Struthio camelus: one gene and its partner. The protein of the gene in region 2 purifies or fractionates together with the protein of the main gene of each other region. This does not show direct contact. Links are inferred from orthologs where the notes say so. Each region holds a gene or a part of one and is shown on either strand. Other genes may lie near its edges.

Evidence for each region.
Region 1: the proteins of UBR2 (region 2) and UBE2B purify together in Homo sapiens (affinity purification with western blotting; 3 studies listed by BioGRID, with this or other methods). This does not show direct contact. The link is inferred for Struthio camelus from reciprocal best matches to the Homo sapiens genes UBR2 and UBE2B.

What each region holds. Positions count from the first base shown.
Region 1 is NC_090954.1:3,939,562-3,948,283, reverse strand, and holds the start of UBE2B (ubiquitin-conjugating enzyme E2 B), read right to left. Parts: upstream 4,140-8,722; 5' UTR 3,992-4,139; coding exon 3,948-3,991; intron 89-3,947; coding exon 8-88; intron 1-7. Other genes in the region: CDKL3 (cyclin-dependent kinase-like 3), read left to right, coding at 8,440-8,604. UniProt on the Homo sapiens protein: E2 ubiquitin-conjugating enzyme that accepts ubiquitin from the ubiquitin-activating enzyme E1 and transfers it to a E3 ubiquitin-protein ligase. In vitro catalyzes 'Lys-11'-, as well as 'Lys-48'- and 'Lys-63'-linked polyubiquitination.
Region 2 is NC_090944.1:112,908,160-112,917,709, forward strand, and holds the start of UBR2 (E3 ubiquitin-protein ligase UBR2), read right to left. Parts: upstream 3,840-9,550; 5' UTR 3,705-3,839; coding exon 3,627-3,704; intron 1-3,626. UniProt on the Homo sapiens protein: E3 ubiquitin-protein ligase which is a component of the N-end rule pathway.

The DNA of each region.
Region 1 (8,722 bases), on a different chromosome or scaffold from region 2:
CTCTTACCCAAATATAACTGCGTTCCACTGCATTATGTTATTCTCAGACGGAGCACCACTGACACCCACAGGAGGGTCTTCCTGCAATCTAAGAATTACAAATATAGAATGACAAGCCTTATATAAACGAAATACTGACTCCTACAAGTAAAATTTAAGAGTAATATACAGAGTTTGTAAATCTTCTCATTCCAAATTAGACAACTCGCATTAGTGCTATGTGCAGATCAGTAACACTGCAAAAGACAGAAACCTAGAAAATGCACATCAAGCTTTTCCCAAGTATTACACTGATGGCCCAATGGGTTGCATAAGTATGCAAGGAGCAAAGCATCAACTGTAAGAATAATTTAAAGCACCACATACACTGAGACTGACTGTACTGCACAGTACATTATGAAAGAGTAGAAAGCAATTCCTGCTGGTTGCTGCAAGGAAGTAAACAGATCACAACCACAAACTGAAGCATTAGCTATTAGTATCCGAAAGTGGGCCAGTGATACTTAAATGATACACTTATTGAAACTTAGTGCAAAGGACTCTCAATGAAGCTTTCCTTGCATTCCCAATTTTGCATGTGAGATGTGGCTAAACGTGGTGTAAATCCATTCTGGCTGGCAAGCCGATTGCTTTGAAAGGGAAGGAGGAGCAAGGGAAAAACCTCTGTACTGCTCCTTGTTACCAGTTCAACAAAATGTAAATATTTATTTCTAAAGTAATCATGGAAGTGTTTTAAATTCTTTCTGGTCCCTTAATCCTGGGACTAGGGAAAAATACATTACTGACTGAAAGTCACAAACTTGGGCCAGACATCATAACTCAAGGATAGGATCCAAATATTGTCATTCTGCCCATCCTTTTGTCTATCAATGTTTCTATTTAAGGATTCCATAAAGCCCTGGAACGGCATAAAACAGTAAGCTCCAATCACCTGGTAAGAATTCTGCCGTATCAAACCCCTTCAACAATAGCTCCTATCAATCTCACCTATTCAGCCTCATAATTATGAGAATAAGAACAATGAAGCAACTGCCCTTGCTTCAAAAGCAATTCTTAACAGTATTAACAGGAGGTCTAAATACATAACAGCATACTATTATGTGCAAGTCTTCACTGAGCCTGCAGACCAAGGGGCAAATTCTAACAAGATTTGCACGTGCAAGTGCAGATTTATTCAGAGCTGACACTGCTCTACAGTCATTCATTATGCCCTGTAACTTTTCACGTACTTGCATTTCCTAAGTCTATTAGACACAGTGAGCTAAAACTGCACGTGTACGTGGGCAGTAAGCGATGATGTTACCCTGCAAAGACAGGGTAGAAGCAGGGTTCTGACCGTTTGCAGTTCAGATCCCCTCCGAACTCTGGGTTTACATCCTTGTTCTCCGAGCACACACAGTTCAGACAGCTTAATATCAACAGCATAAATTGCCTGCTATTTTGGTCAGTGAGAGCAGGAATGTGACTTCTCCCTATGTGATATCCAGACTGCGTGCCAGTAATAATGCCTAAGCATTAAGTCTAATAATGCATCTGAAAGATGGCTTTGGTTCTTAGATCACTTAAAAAGCTCACGTGCACCCCACTGCCAAAGAGCGCAAAAAAATTTGTGGCAAGAACTGGAAACTAGACCGGTCTGAGCAGAGACCAGAAATCTGTAAGAAATAAGGATAACGTAGTATTTACAGCTCCTTTTCCAAAAGCAAAAACAAACCTAGTCAGCTTATTTTTGTTGCTTTAGTCAAAAAGAGGGGGGAAAAAAAAATCTGTTGAACTGTTCTTTCTTCAGCACTGTTGACAACTGCAGTACGCAAAAGGAGTTTATATTTAAACAAACTGAATCAGAGTTCACAGCACACATTGTCTGCTTCTTTCAGTATGAGGTAAGATTAACAGATTAACATAAGGCTAAACAAAAATATAACTTAAGGGTAGGAGGGAGAAAATTTAAAAGACTGATAGGAAAATGTTACATAAGTGTTGAGGCATGGAGTTCTTATACATGTATAAATAAATGTGAACTTGTATAACCAAATAAATGCAATGAAACACGGAACTTCTCCATGGATTTAAAGTCTTTTATCCATCTCCAATTTCAAAGTGATCAAATCACTCCCCCTAAGATAATCCATTTCTACTACTGATTACAAAATCACAGAAAACATATCTGATTGCAATCCTAAAAAAAAAAAAAAAAATCACTTCATCCTTCACCCTAAAGGAAGGGCTACTTTTGTCATTTGCGTAACCTAATACAAGGGGGGGGGAAAAAGTCTGAATACCCCATTTTAGTTGAAACAGAATTCAAGTGACCTTCTGCTCACAGCATGCAAACACCCAAATAAAACATAACAGCTAGGATCCACTTATCAAAAATGTCCGACTTGGCAGAGTCAAAAAACAAAAACAAAAACCTCCACTTTTATGTGACTGCATGTAAGGCTACAGTGTTAAAACAACTACATACAATATGCATGTGTCAACTGTTTACTGATGTATTTTCAGGTACTGGTATAACATAGCTATGCTAAAAAAAGAGACAGTATCAAAGCTGACTCACCTCCCACAACTTATGAGTTACTTGAGTCCAGAGAAATCATAACACATACTGTGAAGCTTACAAAAAATAATTTTTTCCATACTCTCAATTATAAACATATTTACATGCTAGACTGGAAATAAACTATTCCAGATTCTGTGGTTCAGCCATTAACATTTAGAAGAGCTAAAGAAGCAGTTATTAGTAGTCATATATGTGTACATATTACAGATTCCTCATTATTGAGGAACACAAAATAACACTTTTTTTTAAATCACATATAGACGGTGTTTACTAGTTTTCTATACTTCATTTTCAGATGTCCATCCTGAACTGGGAGATTGTCAGAGAGACTGACAACCCAATCAGCCTCAACTGCATCTGAATTCTGACTGTTCTCTCCAGAAAACTGGGCCAAATATCTTAAGTATTCAAACACTTGTGTGAGGAAGAGAAAGGGGGCAGGGGAGGAAGAGCCTCAGAAGCGTTTAGCCTCAGTAAGCTCTTCACCACTAGGCCCTTCTAGGAAAAAAAAAAAAAAGTATCTAGAAGACAGTGCACATCTGACCTCCAACCACTGCTTGGTTTTCAGTCATGCCCCTCACCTATATCCTTAAATAACCAGTGTATTTGAGCCTTTCCTAACTATTTACAGATCATATGCTTTCTATTCAGTAAGACTCTGAATTAGGCTTCCACGTCACTGTAGTCCAAGGGGTTTTAGCCGTGCGACGTGCGAGCCTCTGCCTTTATCCTGGGAGCTTGGTCCTAAAGAGCAGCTTTCAGGGGAAGGCTCGTCTCCCGGCCGCGGCCAGGCGGGCCGCGAACGGCTCTCCAGGCTCAAGGCGCGCTGCCCAGGCGCGGCGGAGCGCGGAGGAGCGCGGCCCTTGCGCTCAAGGCATCGCCTTCAACTTTTATCCTCAAACGCCCCCAGACGTCTGTAAACAGTACGAGGCAGGCGGCCTGGGAGGAAGCAGCGCTCAACAAAAACAAAAGCGGTTCTGCCCGAGGAGCAACGCGCTCCGCGGACCCGGGGAGGTGTGGGGGGGGGGGTAAAGCTCCTCACCGGCGGGTGCGCCTCACCGCCGGGCTGCCCGGAGGCCGCCCCCCCTCCCACCCCCCACCGCGGAACCGGCCCCCCTCGTCCGCCAGGCGCCGGCCGGGCGCAACGGCCAGCTCGGCGGCCCCGACGGAACGGACCGGCCAACCGAGGCGCTGGGCTCCAGCACGGGGCCGCTCCGGAGGCGGGCTGACCCCGGCCGGCCGGCCGGCGGGCCGCGGCTCGGGCCCCGCTCCGGCGGCTCCCGGCGCCGGTCCGGCCGCCCCCCCCCCCTTCCCTCGGCGGCAACCGAGCCCGGCGCTCCTGACCGCCCGGGGGGCCGCGCCGAGCCGAGCGGCGGCCGCTCACCTCTTGAAGTCGCGCATCAGCCTGCGCCGGGCCGGAGTGGACATGATGGCCGCGCAGAAGGGAGCCGGCCGTGCCCCGGAGCCGCGGCGCCGCCTCCCTCGGCCGCCTGCACAAACAACCCCGCAATGGCGTCTCCCTCCGCGGGGGGCGGGCCGCGCCGCGGGGCCGCCGACGTCGCCCGGCGCGGGGGGGGGGGGCCGGGGGGGAGAGAGCGAGCACCGCCTTCGGCGCGTACCACTGCGCCCGCCGCGGGGGGAGGAAGGGGGCTGCCCGCGGAGCCAGGGCGGCCCCAGCGCAGAGCTCCGCGCTGATGGGAGCGATGGCCGCGTTTAAACAAACGCCTTTTGGAAGGGCCGGCTGCGAAAATCGGCACGGCTGGACGACTGTGGTGTGCAGCGCTAAAAATTCATCACTGGAAGTCTTGCACGGGGGCGAGGCAGTTCTTTTCTCCAGAAAGCTTTTTCTAAGCAAACAAATGGATAGTTTAGGGCTTGGACAAAATAACAATTTTGGCAGGAGGGAGACATCAGGCTCCGCTTTGTGATTTGATTCCTATAATGCAAATAGGCACAAGAAATTTCAATTTGAAATGGCACAAAATGTTAGGATGACTAGGAAACGAAGAACCTACCTTTGGCAGCCTGAAGTGTTTGCTTAGGAAAATAAGGCTAACAACAGGCACAAATGCCTTCTATAAATACATCAGAGAGGCTGAGGGAGAGAAGAGCTAATTTAAACTAAATAACAATACTGGCATAAGAACAAATGGGCATGAAGTTAGTCAGAAATCATTTCGGGAAGATACTTGTATTCATACTACTTACCTTCTGAAACCGGGTAGTGGAGAACTAGGGTAGTTAAGTTGCCTGCAATCTTCCCCTCTCCCTTTTTTCTTGTTTAAACCACATGACTCCAACAGACTCAAGTAGATCTCTTTGAAGTTATGACCCTGTTCTTTTCTGAAGTCTTGGAAGCTAGCCCCAGCACTTGGATTTGTGTGATTACATGTGCCTCCTTGTTTTTTTTCCAGAGTTATTTAGGGAGATCATAAACATCATGAGACTCATAATGAAGTGACAGAAATAAATACTGTCTTCATCCTTTTACCCATTTGTTTTGCCTTCGGCTATGCACGTGCTTGAGAGCATTGACCTTAGCTTTAATATAGCACAAAAGCTAGTTAACTGCTTTTCACTCGAGCACATGCTAAACCAGCGCTTCAGCAGCCTCACTGACAAGGGTTACAGGCTGACCAGAGCACTGCTCTGAATCGGTACCTCACTGTTAAGGCAGAGATTTTATCCTGCCAAGACTTAAGCTTTGAACATGTTTTAATCCATTGTCCCACCTCAGTGAAGACATTAAGATGCTTAAAGTGAGATATACGTATAACAATTCACAAAACAAAGGCCTGATATTACAAGGGAGCAAGCGAGTTTTAAAGAGGGCTAGTAATAAGAAACTCCTATTGGGCTGGCTAGTCCGTCATTTCCCACTCATTAAAACAGTATTATTTCCTGCACCAGTGAGAGATGCTTCATGACAAGCAGTCTCTTCTCCTAAGTTTTCCTCCCTTGCCCATCACATATATGCTTTAATTTTGCTGCTAGTCCTCTAGCTTCAAGCAGTTTATATTTAGCATCAGTTAATTCATAAGGGAGATGGGAGACTAAAAAACAAGTACAAGCTTGGACCTGTATAAATCATTAACATAGATTTAACAACATTCATTATTTCCACTATTAACATGCCCTTCACCACAATTGCCCAGACACAGCAGCAAAAGCATCCTCTACCCAAAGGGCAGTTCTTTATTCTTTGAAGCCCAAGTCACCCTCAACACACAGGCACCCCTCAACTCGCATTCAGGCTTCCCCTTCAGGGCAACATTCGTTAACTGCACAGAGAACCCTCTATCAGACAAAAAATGTTAATCCTGAAATCCTAAATAGTTTTCACCTGGCTCAGGAAATTTTTCACCAACATCTCCTCACCAGCAATAGTATTTCTTCTCCTCTGACACCCTTGCAGAATGGCACAAGAAACGAAAGGTCACAACAGCTTCCTTGAAGCGCTCCTCTTTCACTCCTTTATTGAGTGTAGGAATTAGCCAAGACCTTACCACTCAGCCCTTGCCAAGCCCATACTCCTTCTCTTAAGATACATGCATCAGGCCAACCCCAGGCCCTTGCACAGCAGCACAGGGAAGTTCAGCCACCGTTTGGGTTGGGTCAGCAGCTTGCAGCCTGAAGCACGTCTGAGCGCACTGAATTCACGCAGCAGAGGGCACTGATAAGCTTTCCAGTTCTGCACTGTCAAAACAGATGGGTGGGTCACAAATCATACAAAACAGGATTGTCTCACATGCATAGACAGGATCTAATTAAGTTTTTCCTTTTTGAATCTGGTCTCATGATTAAACACCTGTGATGATTAGTTTTATTAGCAAATGCAAAGCTTCCATATTTTTCCCTTGTGAAGATCCAGCTGCAATTTGTTTTGTTGATCATATAGCATATGTAGGTTTTAAAATCAAATTAAGTATAACCCAAGTTCATTTTAAAAACGAACAGTTTGGAAAATAACAGTGAAACAAGGTATCTGCCTTTGCATTTGTTAAGACAGTCCATCCTCCTAGAAACTTAATTTTTTTTTTTTATGGTCACTCTCTCTGATGCTGCAGTGCCCCTCTGGGAAGATTTACCATTAACACTGTCCAAACCCCAGGATCTAAAATTAGGGAAATGAATAAACCAAGTCATCCGTTAGAATTTGCTTTTGTTCTTACTCATTACACTAGTAGCTGAGGAGCTACCTTCAGAGGTGCCAAACACACTGGTCAGGAGACACCATTCTTGTTCCCAAAGCATTCACTAATAAAGATGTAACCCATTAGGGCCTGTGGCATAGTAGTAACTGACTTGCGCACCCACAGCCCCAAGACAAGAATGAGTAAGTAGTGTCAAAGTAAGAAAAAAAATCAAGTGGGTTATTTAATCCACAAAGCAGTAGAGGTAGAAACAAACTCCAGCCTCTGAACCCCTATAACTTACTGACGGAGGGGTGCAACTCCATCATACCCTGATTGCCGACCCTGCCTTTCAGGATTTTTGAACCTCGGCTTGCCTGTTACTCCAATCCTACTTCATTATTCAAAATTCCGGGAAAAATACCAGATTCAGGATAAATCCTTGTGTGGCCCTACTCAGGGCATCCTCTTCTTTTGACAGTAAACTACTGGTAACTATTCTTCAAACACATTTTAGTTAGGTGTGCACCCTTCTTAAATAAATAGTTGTTCTAATACTATTTGAATACAAAGTTACTTCAGAGCATACCACCTAGAAAAGCAAGAAGCATGACTGAAAAAAAAAAAAAATACAGACACCAAGGGATCCCACACCTGCCTCCATCTATCCGCTAAACCACCTACGCGATGAAGGAGGCTGCGTGTAATACTTGCTCTGGGTGACTCCGCTCCAGGCTGCCTCCCCTGCTCGGCCTCCAGGGGCTCAGCGCGCCCGCCCGCCCGCTCCAACGCTCTTCCGGAGACCTAGAGGAGTTAACTCAACTTTTACTCAGACTTGGTAAAAAACCGAAGTGGAGAGAGAGGTTTTTTTGCCGCTTGGGGGAGCGGCAGTTACCCCTTTTACCCGCTACGGCGTTGTTAAATACACTCAATCCCCTGCTGCCAACCCCCGGCAACGCCAAGACCACCGCGTCCAACTGATTAATACGCGACCAGCTTGTGGAGAGCGGAAAACGACCGTCCCGCGCCCGTTAAATCCGGCTGTGAGGAGAGACGCCGCCAACCGCCCCTCAGCGCCGCCCCGCCCCCGCCCCGCGGAGCGCGCCGACGTCAGCGCGGCGGCGCGGCGCGGGCGGCCGTTGCCATGGCGAGGCGGCTGCCTTGGTTCAGCGGCGGTTTAGCGGCGCCCGCGGGGAGCCGTTACGGCCGTTAGGGCCGTTGGGCGCTGGTGCCGCCGCGCGGGCGGGCGGGCGGTCGGGTCGGGTCGGGCCGCCGCTTCCCCGCACGTCGGTCGGCGCCCGCGGGCGTTTTCAAGCCCCGGCCGGTTGCCGTGCCTCCGAAGGCCGTGGCGGCGGTATAATAACACAGTCCTTCCTCTGTTGCGCTGCTCGTACCTGCTTGCTCTAGAGGATGAGGGGTTTGTTTATTTAGCTTTTATTCCTCCTCTTTAGCCCACCTTTAGTTAAAGCTGGGGTCTGTAGACGTCTCTAGGAGCGTGCGCGAGTGCGAAGTTGAGCTCTTGACTGTCACCATGTGTATATGGCTTAAAAAAAAAAAAAAGCTGAAGGCTTGGGAGGCTTCACCTCAAGGGCTTGCAGAGATGTTCGGGAAAGGGAAGTGACCGCTGTCTTCAGGGGTTACCCCTCTTGAAATGTTGCCTTTGCATGCGTGTTTAAGGAGTCGTGCGTACCTTGAACTGATTCAAACTTTTGTCTTTCTATGAAGAAATAAGAACCAGCGAAGATGGAGATGTACGAGGTCCTTGACAAAGTGGGAGAGGGCAGTTACGGAACAGTAGTGAAGTGCCGACACAAGGACACGGGACAGACAGTGGCCATTAAAATATTATATGAGAAATCAGGAAAGCATATTAACAAAACTGCGATGAGAGAAGTAAAGTTTCTACAGGTTTGTTCCGTTAAATATGTAAAACAAATGGGAAATGGCTTGAAAACGAGAGCTGCATCATTAACAGAGTACGTGGTTGCTTTTAGGCTGCTTCGTGCACAAAATAGCGTGAAAGATT
Region 2 (9,550 bases):
ATTTTTTCCCCTGTATATATATGCGTGCACAGACACATACTGGAAGAAAAAAAAAACCCTCAAAATAACATTTATTTCAGTCTTGTGGAACTACAATTTTATAAAGGTCCAAATCGTAAATTAAGGCTACTAGGTTTTTATGATAAACATATGGGAGCAAACACACATTGCAAGTGTGCAGGTTACATAAACAGCCTTAGCATGCCATTTCTAACTGTAAATACGGTGACAAGACACCTCTGATAACTTCAAATATAGAATTCAATAAACAAACTAAAAGTATATATGAAAAGCAAGAATTAATTATACAAAAATAATTAACTTTGATAACCAAATGTTACAGCTTGATTCACTCTGAATTATTCATGACTCACTCTTAAGAACTTTTATTTGAGAAGATACTGTTGTGGTGAGTTCTTGAGGATAAAGGTGCAGAGTCAGTGTAGTATTCATACCACTTAAGGGATTTTTTAAAATATACATTGCAATATTTTCATCTGCTAGACTACTTTTTCTAATGCAGACTTTCATTCAAAAAAGCTTATTTGTCAATATAGCTCTTAGATAGTAAAACAGAACGCTTTCCTCACTTCTCTTTCCCTAAGTTTGGCTTAAAATCATAATCAATCTACTAAACGTTTTTGAATTGATCTAGTTTTGATGGTTACAAAACTAGGAATTTTCCAAATAAGCCTACGGAAAAGGCTTGCCATAAAAGACCCTATCTAAGGATCCAGAAGTTTACAGTGAATCTCACTATTCCCATTAGGATTAAGAGACTACTCCACAAAAATGGAAACATTAACATTTTCATTGCTAAGAATTTGCATCCTTTTCCCTAGCTCATGAATCTTTTGGTCTCTTTCCATCAGTTGTGCCAAAGACGTACTGCTGCACGAGGAACTGACCTAACTGCAGCGGAACCAACTTAGTGTCTTCCATCATCTCTCTTCAGTAAGATCATTTTTAGATGATTTTTCTAGAGCACGTATTAGTTAAAATACTTGCATTTTGTTCTTAGCAAAATGCCTTTAATTTCAACTTTTTAAATCTGAAGTACCTTAGTAATTTCTATCTAGAAAAGATATAGCACATATTAGTTACACTACAAGCTCAGACAAATACCTAGCCAGAGAAAATTGTTGTTCCTCAGGTAAACAGCTTTCCCTTCCCAAAAATTCCAGCAGTACTTGCCTGAAAGTTAGGTGTGGCAACACTGGATGTCATCACACCTACGTCTCTTCACGAACTGAATTCTATACACGTAGCTGTGCATATAGTTCTGAGTATTAGATCCTGGCCAAAAGAATACCAGAAGGAAAGAAATGTGGACTGCTAGGACAAGGAAATAGATGCATTTCTGGTGTCCCTTAGAGTGCTTGTAAAACAAAACAAAATAACAAAACAAAACTGAAAGCTATGCTAACTTGCTAGCGGACTGATACCTGAGAGGCACTGAATCCCAGTAAAAAACTACTCAAAACTTTAGAATTTATTTTTTGGCCTAAGTATTTCATATTAGACAAATACTAACTGAAAACTTGCCTAATCTTCTACCCTGAATTGACACGTAGGAAAAATTAATATTCTACCCTGCCATGAGATTCTTTTAATAAAAAGGGAAATGTATCCTCCTTCATTTCCTCCCCTGACTTATTCTCCTGCACTTTTGAGTGCCAATAAATAAATAAATAAATAAATAGAATCAAAAAACATTGTTTAAATAACACTCATACAAGTAAACACCTAAGGGTCCATCAGAGTTTCTATTAAATTACATTTAATTAAGAGACAAAATAGCTGAACAAAATGCACGATACAAAAAAAGTCATGAAACAACTCAATTTACTACTTCCAGAGCTAAATGGCATACCTTACGTATTTATGGCTTTGGTTAGCTATATAAATTAATATCTGCAATGTAGGCTTATATTCTGTTACAGATGACAGTCATTTATTCTTCTGATTATTGTTCTTTGGAGGTTCATAGTTAACTTGTTGCAATAAGAAACTGAAATGCAAAGTACTATAACTATAGCTTTGGACTGGCATTTATTTTGTTAGTATTGTGCTATCAGCAAAGTAATACTATCAGCAAAGGAGGGAGAAAAACAGACCTAAAGACCAGCTGTGCTGTTTACTTACACGTTCAGGGAGTGCCAATAGCATTTAACTGCTAGCACACTGTGGGTCTGAAACGAACAGATCGCTGAATTGTAGCTTATGCTGGTGATTATGGGGGAAAAATGAGAAAGAACTGACTAAGTTTAAAGAAGACCTTGCACCTATGGCAGATTCTTAGACATGTGCCATTTGGTGTGCCTTTAGCTCAGGTAAGTAACTAACACATGCTCTAGAAAATCATCTAAAAATGATGAACCTACGTAAACCTATACTGCTACCTACACTGAACTAAACTAGCTAGGATATAGCTAACTGGGCACATTTGCCTACCTAATCACACCTTTGTCTCTGCACTGTAGATATACGACAGTAATCTGAGGCTAACCTGAATTACAACGTTGTCTTTCATTTTATTTTGGAAAGGAGACAATGTAACTCTCATTAAAATACACGAAAAAGCTCTCTGACGTCTTATCCTACAGAAACGCACACAAAGCACGCCAATATGTTCACAAACGTATAGATATAGTTCCTCAAATGCACCTAAATGTACCTATAAGATCAGGCATCTACCTCAGAAGCAAAAATAAAATGGTTCCTTGAAAACTTTACCCTTAAGATTCCCCTTCTTTGACCTTCCTGCTACTCTCTACAAATGCTGGAAAAGTCTATATAAGAAAGTAGGTGACTTCAAGTATTACCCTGATTCTACTAGCTATTTCCTCCACAAGCTTCCCATCCTAATAGTCCCAAACTTAACTGGGATAAGCTTTCACCAGAACTGCATCTTATATACTGGAGAGGAGGAAAAAAAAAAAAAAAAAAGGAGGGGGTGGGGAGCGGGAACCCTGTAATAAAAACCTCAATCTTGCAAAGCGTATATGGGACGAGGCTTCCACTTAAATTAACAGGCTAAGGAACAGGGAGGCTCTTCTCGTTTCAAGACAGCGAGAGGTGAAGCAAAACAGCAGCACAAAACTCCCGAGCTGCGTGGAGAAGGCCAGGAAGCAAGGGCAGCCCGAGGGACGAGCTCCCACAGGCCAGGCCGCGGCCCCGCCGCCCCCGCTGCTGCCTGGCCGGTGCCCTGGCGCCGCCGGGCGCTGCGGCCGCGGGGCTGGCCCGGCCCGAGCCGCCCGAGCAAGCCCGCACAACAGGAAAAGCCGGCTGCGTTCAGGCTGCCGCAAGAGCGACACGGGTGACAACAGCACGTTGGAGCCGGAGAGCGACGCGGCTTCAAGCCCGCAGCGCCCTTCGCAGCGCCCAGCCCGCGACCCCCGCGGGGAAAGCCCCTCTGCCCCCTCCGCTCCCCCCCCTCCCCAGCACGGCCCCTCTAGCCCTCACAGCCCGGCTGTACTGCCCCCCCCCCCCGCCCCGCCGCCGTTACCGCCGGCCTAGCAGCCCCCGCTCCCTCCCTCCCCGCCGCCGCCAGGCACCGAGCGCGCTTCGGCCCCGGGCCCGCCGCCGCCCCCGCGGCCCGGCGACAGGGCGCGACGGCGCCTCACCCCGGCGATCTCCTCGGCGGAGCACTCCAGCAGGCTCTTGTCAATAGCCTGCACCTCCGCCTCCAAGTCCGCCGCCATCTTCTCCCCTCCCCCGCCCCGCGCCGAGGAAGGGACACCCGGAACCGGGCCCGGCCGGCGGCTCTGCGAGGGGAACCCACTTCCGCCCCGCCCGGCCCCCTCCGCGTCACCGCCCTCCGCGTCACCGCGCCGCGCCGGCCCCCGGAGCACGCTGGGAGTTGTAGTCTTTCCGCGGCGCCCGCACGCCGCCTCCCCGTCTCCTCGGAGGCGGCGCCCTCCCCGGCCACGGCAGGCGCGGCCCGGCCCGGCCCGGTTCACTCCCTCCTTTGCTTCCTCCCTTCTAACTCAAAGCGATGCCCGGGGGGAGAGGGTGGCCGGGCCGGGCTGGAGGAGCCCTGCAGTCCCCGCAGGCCGCACAGCTCGCCCGGCCCCCGCGGGCGCGGGGGTCGTCCCGCGACACCTGGACTTCGGTCCCGGTACACACGCACGCCAATATTGTTTGCCTTCTGGTTAAGTTTTTCAGATGCACTTTGGTCACCCTTGCCTGTCAGCCAGGAAGGTGAAAAACTGCTTTATTCAAGGAAAGAAAAAACAATCCTGCAAATTACATGGATTTGGAGCTACGGCTTAAAGAGCAATTTCACAAAGTGCAAAAATCGCTGAAGCTCTAAATCCCGTTTCGCAGCGGCCCTCGTTCCCCGAGCCCCAGAGGAGGCGCGCGGCCCCGGGGGCGGACGGGCCGGCCGCCCCCCTGGCCTAGCAGGGCGCCTTCGCGGCCTGCCGCCCTGCCGCCCTTCTCTGCGCCGGCCTGAACCCGGCACCGTCTGGGCACCTACGCAGAGATGGCGACCCGGTTTGCCAGAAATTACACCAGCAGACAATACCAAGGAAGCCCCTGCTCCAGCCAGCTTACGCTCCCAGATTTGCTCCAGGGTGCAAGAGGTGGATGCACAGACAGGAGAGTGGCAAGACAAACTGTGCTACAATTGCGTGAAGTATTAGTCAGCGATGGTCGTAAATGTTACCATTGCCAGGTGATAGTGATTTACAACAAAAGCATGCGTTAAAAGTGGGTTCTAAACAGCAGTTTGTGCCTGTTAACGATTTTCAAAAGCTTCTCGTGGTGGTTGTGCACAGTTGGGTTTTCTGCTTGTTTTGCTTCTTTTTTTTTTTTGGTCTCTTCTTCTTCCTTCTCCTCAACTAACAACATAAATATTGAGTTACTCAGGGGATAGCCATTACCTTATTTTTGTCTAAAAGTAACAGATACATTTCGGGCCATACACTAATGAAAGAAAGAAATTGGGCAGCGCGCCGTTGGCTGGCGGCCCTTGAACGGCTTTAACGTTCCTCGCATCAGGGGGCAGCAGCGCACGCTTCCCTACTAGGCGTACTCTACCAGCTCTTGTTTAGAAACCATTGCATTTACATACTTTAATTTGTTTGTGAATTCTGGTTAATTTTTGGAGATGAAAGGAACACACATCTCTGGAGAGGCTGTTTGCAAGAACTGAAAAAGATGTTTTTTTTTCACCAGAGCTATGAGAGAATCGTAAAAGCATGGCCTTTAGAATATTAATTTCACCTCTTAATATTCTAAGGAGAATCTTAATTTCCTTTTGTCGGATTGTATCATTACTATATAAAGGGTACATCTTTCTACTTCATTTATTTTTGTTTTCCACATTTTGCATAATTGTTCTTAGAACAGAGAAAATAATTCAGTATTCCTCAGAAGATCAGTAAAATCTTCACTGCCTCTTATTCATGTGCTGTTAATGCACAAGGAATACAGAAGATTGCACTTGTCTGGAAGAAGGCAGAGGGTAAAAGAAAGCTGTATGATTTAATGATCTCTCCTCGGCTGCATGTAGAAAATGTTAGAAAAACCCAGTGGTCCAGTAATACGAAAGGCATCTTATTTTACCTAGAAAGGAGGGTGACCCAAAAATAAACTAAACTTGCAAAGCCGTTATTTCAGCCTAACAACTTCTTAGGTATACTTTTTTATAACCTTGGATAGAAATTTTCATAACTTTTAGTCTGTGCCATTAACTTCATAATGATTAGATATTATTCAAATTCAGGAACAATATTTAAGGTTGAGGAGCCAAACTGTCTTTATCTTCTGCCAAAAAAACTAATTCTTCCCAGGTCTATTATCAGATAAAAACTGAAGAAAATAAATCCATAGGATTTAATGTTAATGGGGTTATTATTAAACCTTCATAGCATTTCCCTGCTCTCAGTGATGTATTTCTGGGTTTCATCTTGCTCTCAACACACAAGATAGCCCACAGAAAGCTACAGAATCAGGGCTGTAAAGCTGTAGATATCTGTTATATCTCTTCGACCTTCTGATGCGCCTGTGTAAGCACCAGCTTGTCTCTGCCATTAAAATAACTAAATGGCACTATGAACAGGAGGGGTCGAGTAAGTTAGTTAGCCTCCGGTATGTTTAATACAAGCTGCATTCATTAAAAACAATGTAAATATACATAATTTATTATATTATATTATTATATAATATTAATTTTCACAGTAGAGACTGGTGGTCCCTATCTAAAAACTGTTTTAAAAGCTACTAACAAAACAGGATCTTCCACCCTACAAAACTGCCTCTCCACTTTAGTGTAACAGAAGCCACCAGCAGCAGCCAAGCTGAGGTCTAGCTATTTTGAAACAGAAAGGGCCTCCAGTAGAGCATGCTCTGAAGAGCTGGTCTGGTTACAGAACTGATTGTCTTTTTGGCAGAATATTCCTTGAATCTGACCATTTTCAGGGCATGTTGCAAAGTCCTCCACAGCATTTGAGAATAGGAATGGAAGCCGTCATAAGGTAAAGGGATGGTGGAGGGAGTTTTTAAGTGGCTGGTTTGGTGGTATGTTGACTGTGCCTTAAATGCAGTTGTTTTAAGTGCATTGATTTGAAAATAAACAGACAAATGTCTATATAGACTGTAGGGACAGATGTCTTCTTTACAGACCCAGATAAATAAAATGTTATTCAATTTTTCCCACATTGATGGATTCTTATGTCATTAGACAGACACCTTAAGTCTTGAGAGATGGATTCAGAATTGCATTTTATTCAGTAAGAAAGGTTCATCTCCTGCTACCAAAAAATAAAAGTAGTAGTTAAAAAATGTACTTCTTTGTCTACTCTCTAAAGCAGTGCTGTAGCTGTAACTTAATTTCAAAGTTTAACTATTAAAGCAAATGATCAGCATTTTGTTGCTTTATTGCAAACCTATATCTAAGATCATAACCTTGAAAAGACATCTGTATCTCTCTCTTCAAACTTCTGTAAGTCAGCAGCCCTTTACGAGTAAAGCATGTGTCTAAGAGTAGGATTCAGGTTTCTATTTTCAATAACAGTAATTTTGACAGAACAGTTTGCCTAGCAGATACTGAATGACCAAAGTAGTGATTTTTACATTGCAAATAAAATTGTTAAAAGCCATAGTCATTTACGTGGTTTCCCTCCCTTCCTCTCTGGTGCTAGTTAAGGTAGGTTTGCAGTCACCATCTCCTACATTGTCTTCAGATAATTTCAGAAGGTAATTCTTTTATTTCTGTACTGCCAATTCCAATGACAAATTACGCTGACCAAAATAGATTTTTGCCTGTGATACTGTTAATTAAAAGATGAATTGTGAATGAGGTGAACAATGACACCCCGTACTTGCTGGATTGATAAGAGGGAGTTCACTAATCAGGACATTATTCAGATAAAAAGGCCAGCTGGTAATCTGCAAACACAGGTTATTTTAAGAATTTGGTTCAAAATTAGAGTATTAAAAATACGATGTGACAATCTGTGTAGGTGATGCTTTTTTTTTTTTTGGAGGTAACAATGCTATAGTATCAGTCTTTTTGGCAGTAAATCAGAACATATTTTTTTCTCTACTTTGTCTTTGCAAGGCTATGATCTTAGATTTAGGTATGTACTATTTTAAACTATGATGTCAAGAAGTGACAAAAAATAAAATGGTCGATATTAAAAGCAGAGTGTATCACATATAATAGTGAACAGGAGATACAGTGGAAAGCATAAAGATGCTGCAGCCATCATGCCATCTCGGTGAATGTTCTGTGAACGTCTAGCAAAGGCAGTTATATAACTGATTTTTATTGTGTTAGGCAACAGCAGGATTGGTAAGCAAACTGATGTGCAGAATTAGAAAGCTTCTTCCATAGTGAAAATGAAGAGAAAAAAGACAGTGGAAAGGTTCTCACTTAACATCCAGTAAGAGGGTAGGGTAAGAGGGTATGCATCTTCATTAATGCATCGTGGCAGGCTGGCAACATGATTTATTCATATCATGCAATGTCTTAAAAAAAAGACAGTGCGAACTCAGGCTGTGGTAATTTTGCTGCTTTCTGCAATTTAATATGTCAACAATATAGAACTCAAGCTGGTAAGTTAAAATGCCAGCCTCTGAAAGAGATTTAGTGGAAGCTAAGCTAATAATCAGCAATGAGTTATACAGGGGAGAAAAATTAACACAGAGGTGAAGGGAGAAAATATACGCAGAAAATTGTGCCTGATCTCATTCGTTTTCACTATAAATTCAGAAGAATGCTAATGGATATTTAGACATACTAGTAAAACAAGCAGCAGTTCCATGAGCTGGTACTAAGAAAACCTAAGCTTGTGTCTCACAGGTGATCAACTTTGACACCTAAAAAGGCGCAAGCTCCACTTAAAATTTTTGATGCAGCTAATGCCTTTTTCCCCTGCTTATTCTCTGATACCTATGAACATACAGGTTTACGTTGCAACCTTCCCCTAAGCAAGGCTTTTCTTTTATGCAGCTATTTTTCAAAGACTGTTTTTCTACCAAGGTCACAAGTGTGGTAAACAAAGTAAAGTTATGTGTTGCCTTACAACCTGCCTTTAAAACCCTTGTGCTAAAAAAAGAACAGTCTTCATGTTTAGTGTCAACTAATACTAGTGCAGGTACCTGCAGCCTCAAAGTTAAGAGGCCTAAGCTGCAATGAGTGTAGGATATGGCACAATAGATAGGTTAAGCAGACAGGCAGATAGGATTAAAGATAGCTTGTAAGAGCTGAAGAGCTGCTCCAATGGAGGAGGACGTTCCCACTCATGGACTCTTTGGGGGCCACCTCGCAGGAGTTTCAGTCCTGAGCAGAAGGGAAATCTTGTTTTTCCATCTTCGTAGCACTAGGTGGCAATACCTTGCATAGCCGTTTCGGTGCAGAAGTCCTCTGCTGCCGCTTCCAGTCCAAGCCCTCACCAGCTCCCACTCGCTCCAGTCTGCAAGCGGAAGGGTGTGGGTGGTGGCACTGGAGGAGCCATCCGACTTAGATCTTTCTCTCAAATCAGGCTTTAACTGCTTAGTGACTGACACTAAGTAAATTAAAGGCACTTTTGGAATGAGTCAGGCAGTAGGAGGATGAGAAGCGTGTTGTGAAATTGCCGGGGATGGCGGATGGGGCCTTGGGTGGTGAGAGAGGGGAGCAGGGTTGGCGGAGAGGTCGCTGCCTGTCCCATATGGCGCCTCTGCTCCCAAGGCCCTGACCCACAGCACTGCAGAGGAGCCGGGGATGGATGCGGGAGCAGCAGGGGACACTGAGGGGCCATGAAAAACTCGACACTGTGATGGTGACGCTCAGCCCTGTTGCTTGCTCTCGGCTGGTACGGATGCAAACTGGTACTGAACTGGTGGATGAAGAGCTCAGACCACGCGTCTGTCCAGATACGCAGTGGAAACGGGAATACTGCAGCCCACAAGCAAAGACAGGGCAGATGAAAGATTCACCTGGGAATATGGGAACATTGTGGACAACTGAACTAATTCTTCCTTATACCCATTCTTCCCCTTCATTCACACAACAGAGTCATTCTGAATTAGAACGGCTTATAACAGATTTAATTGAGAT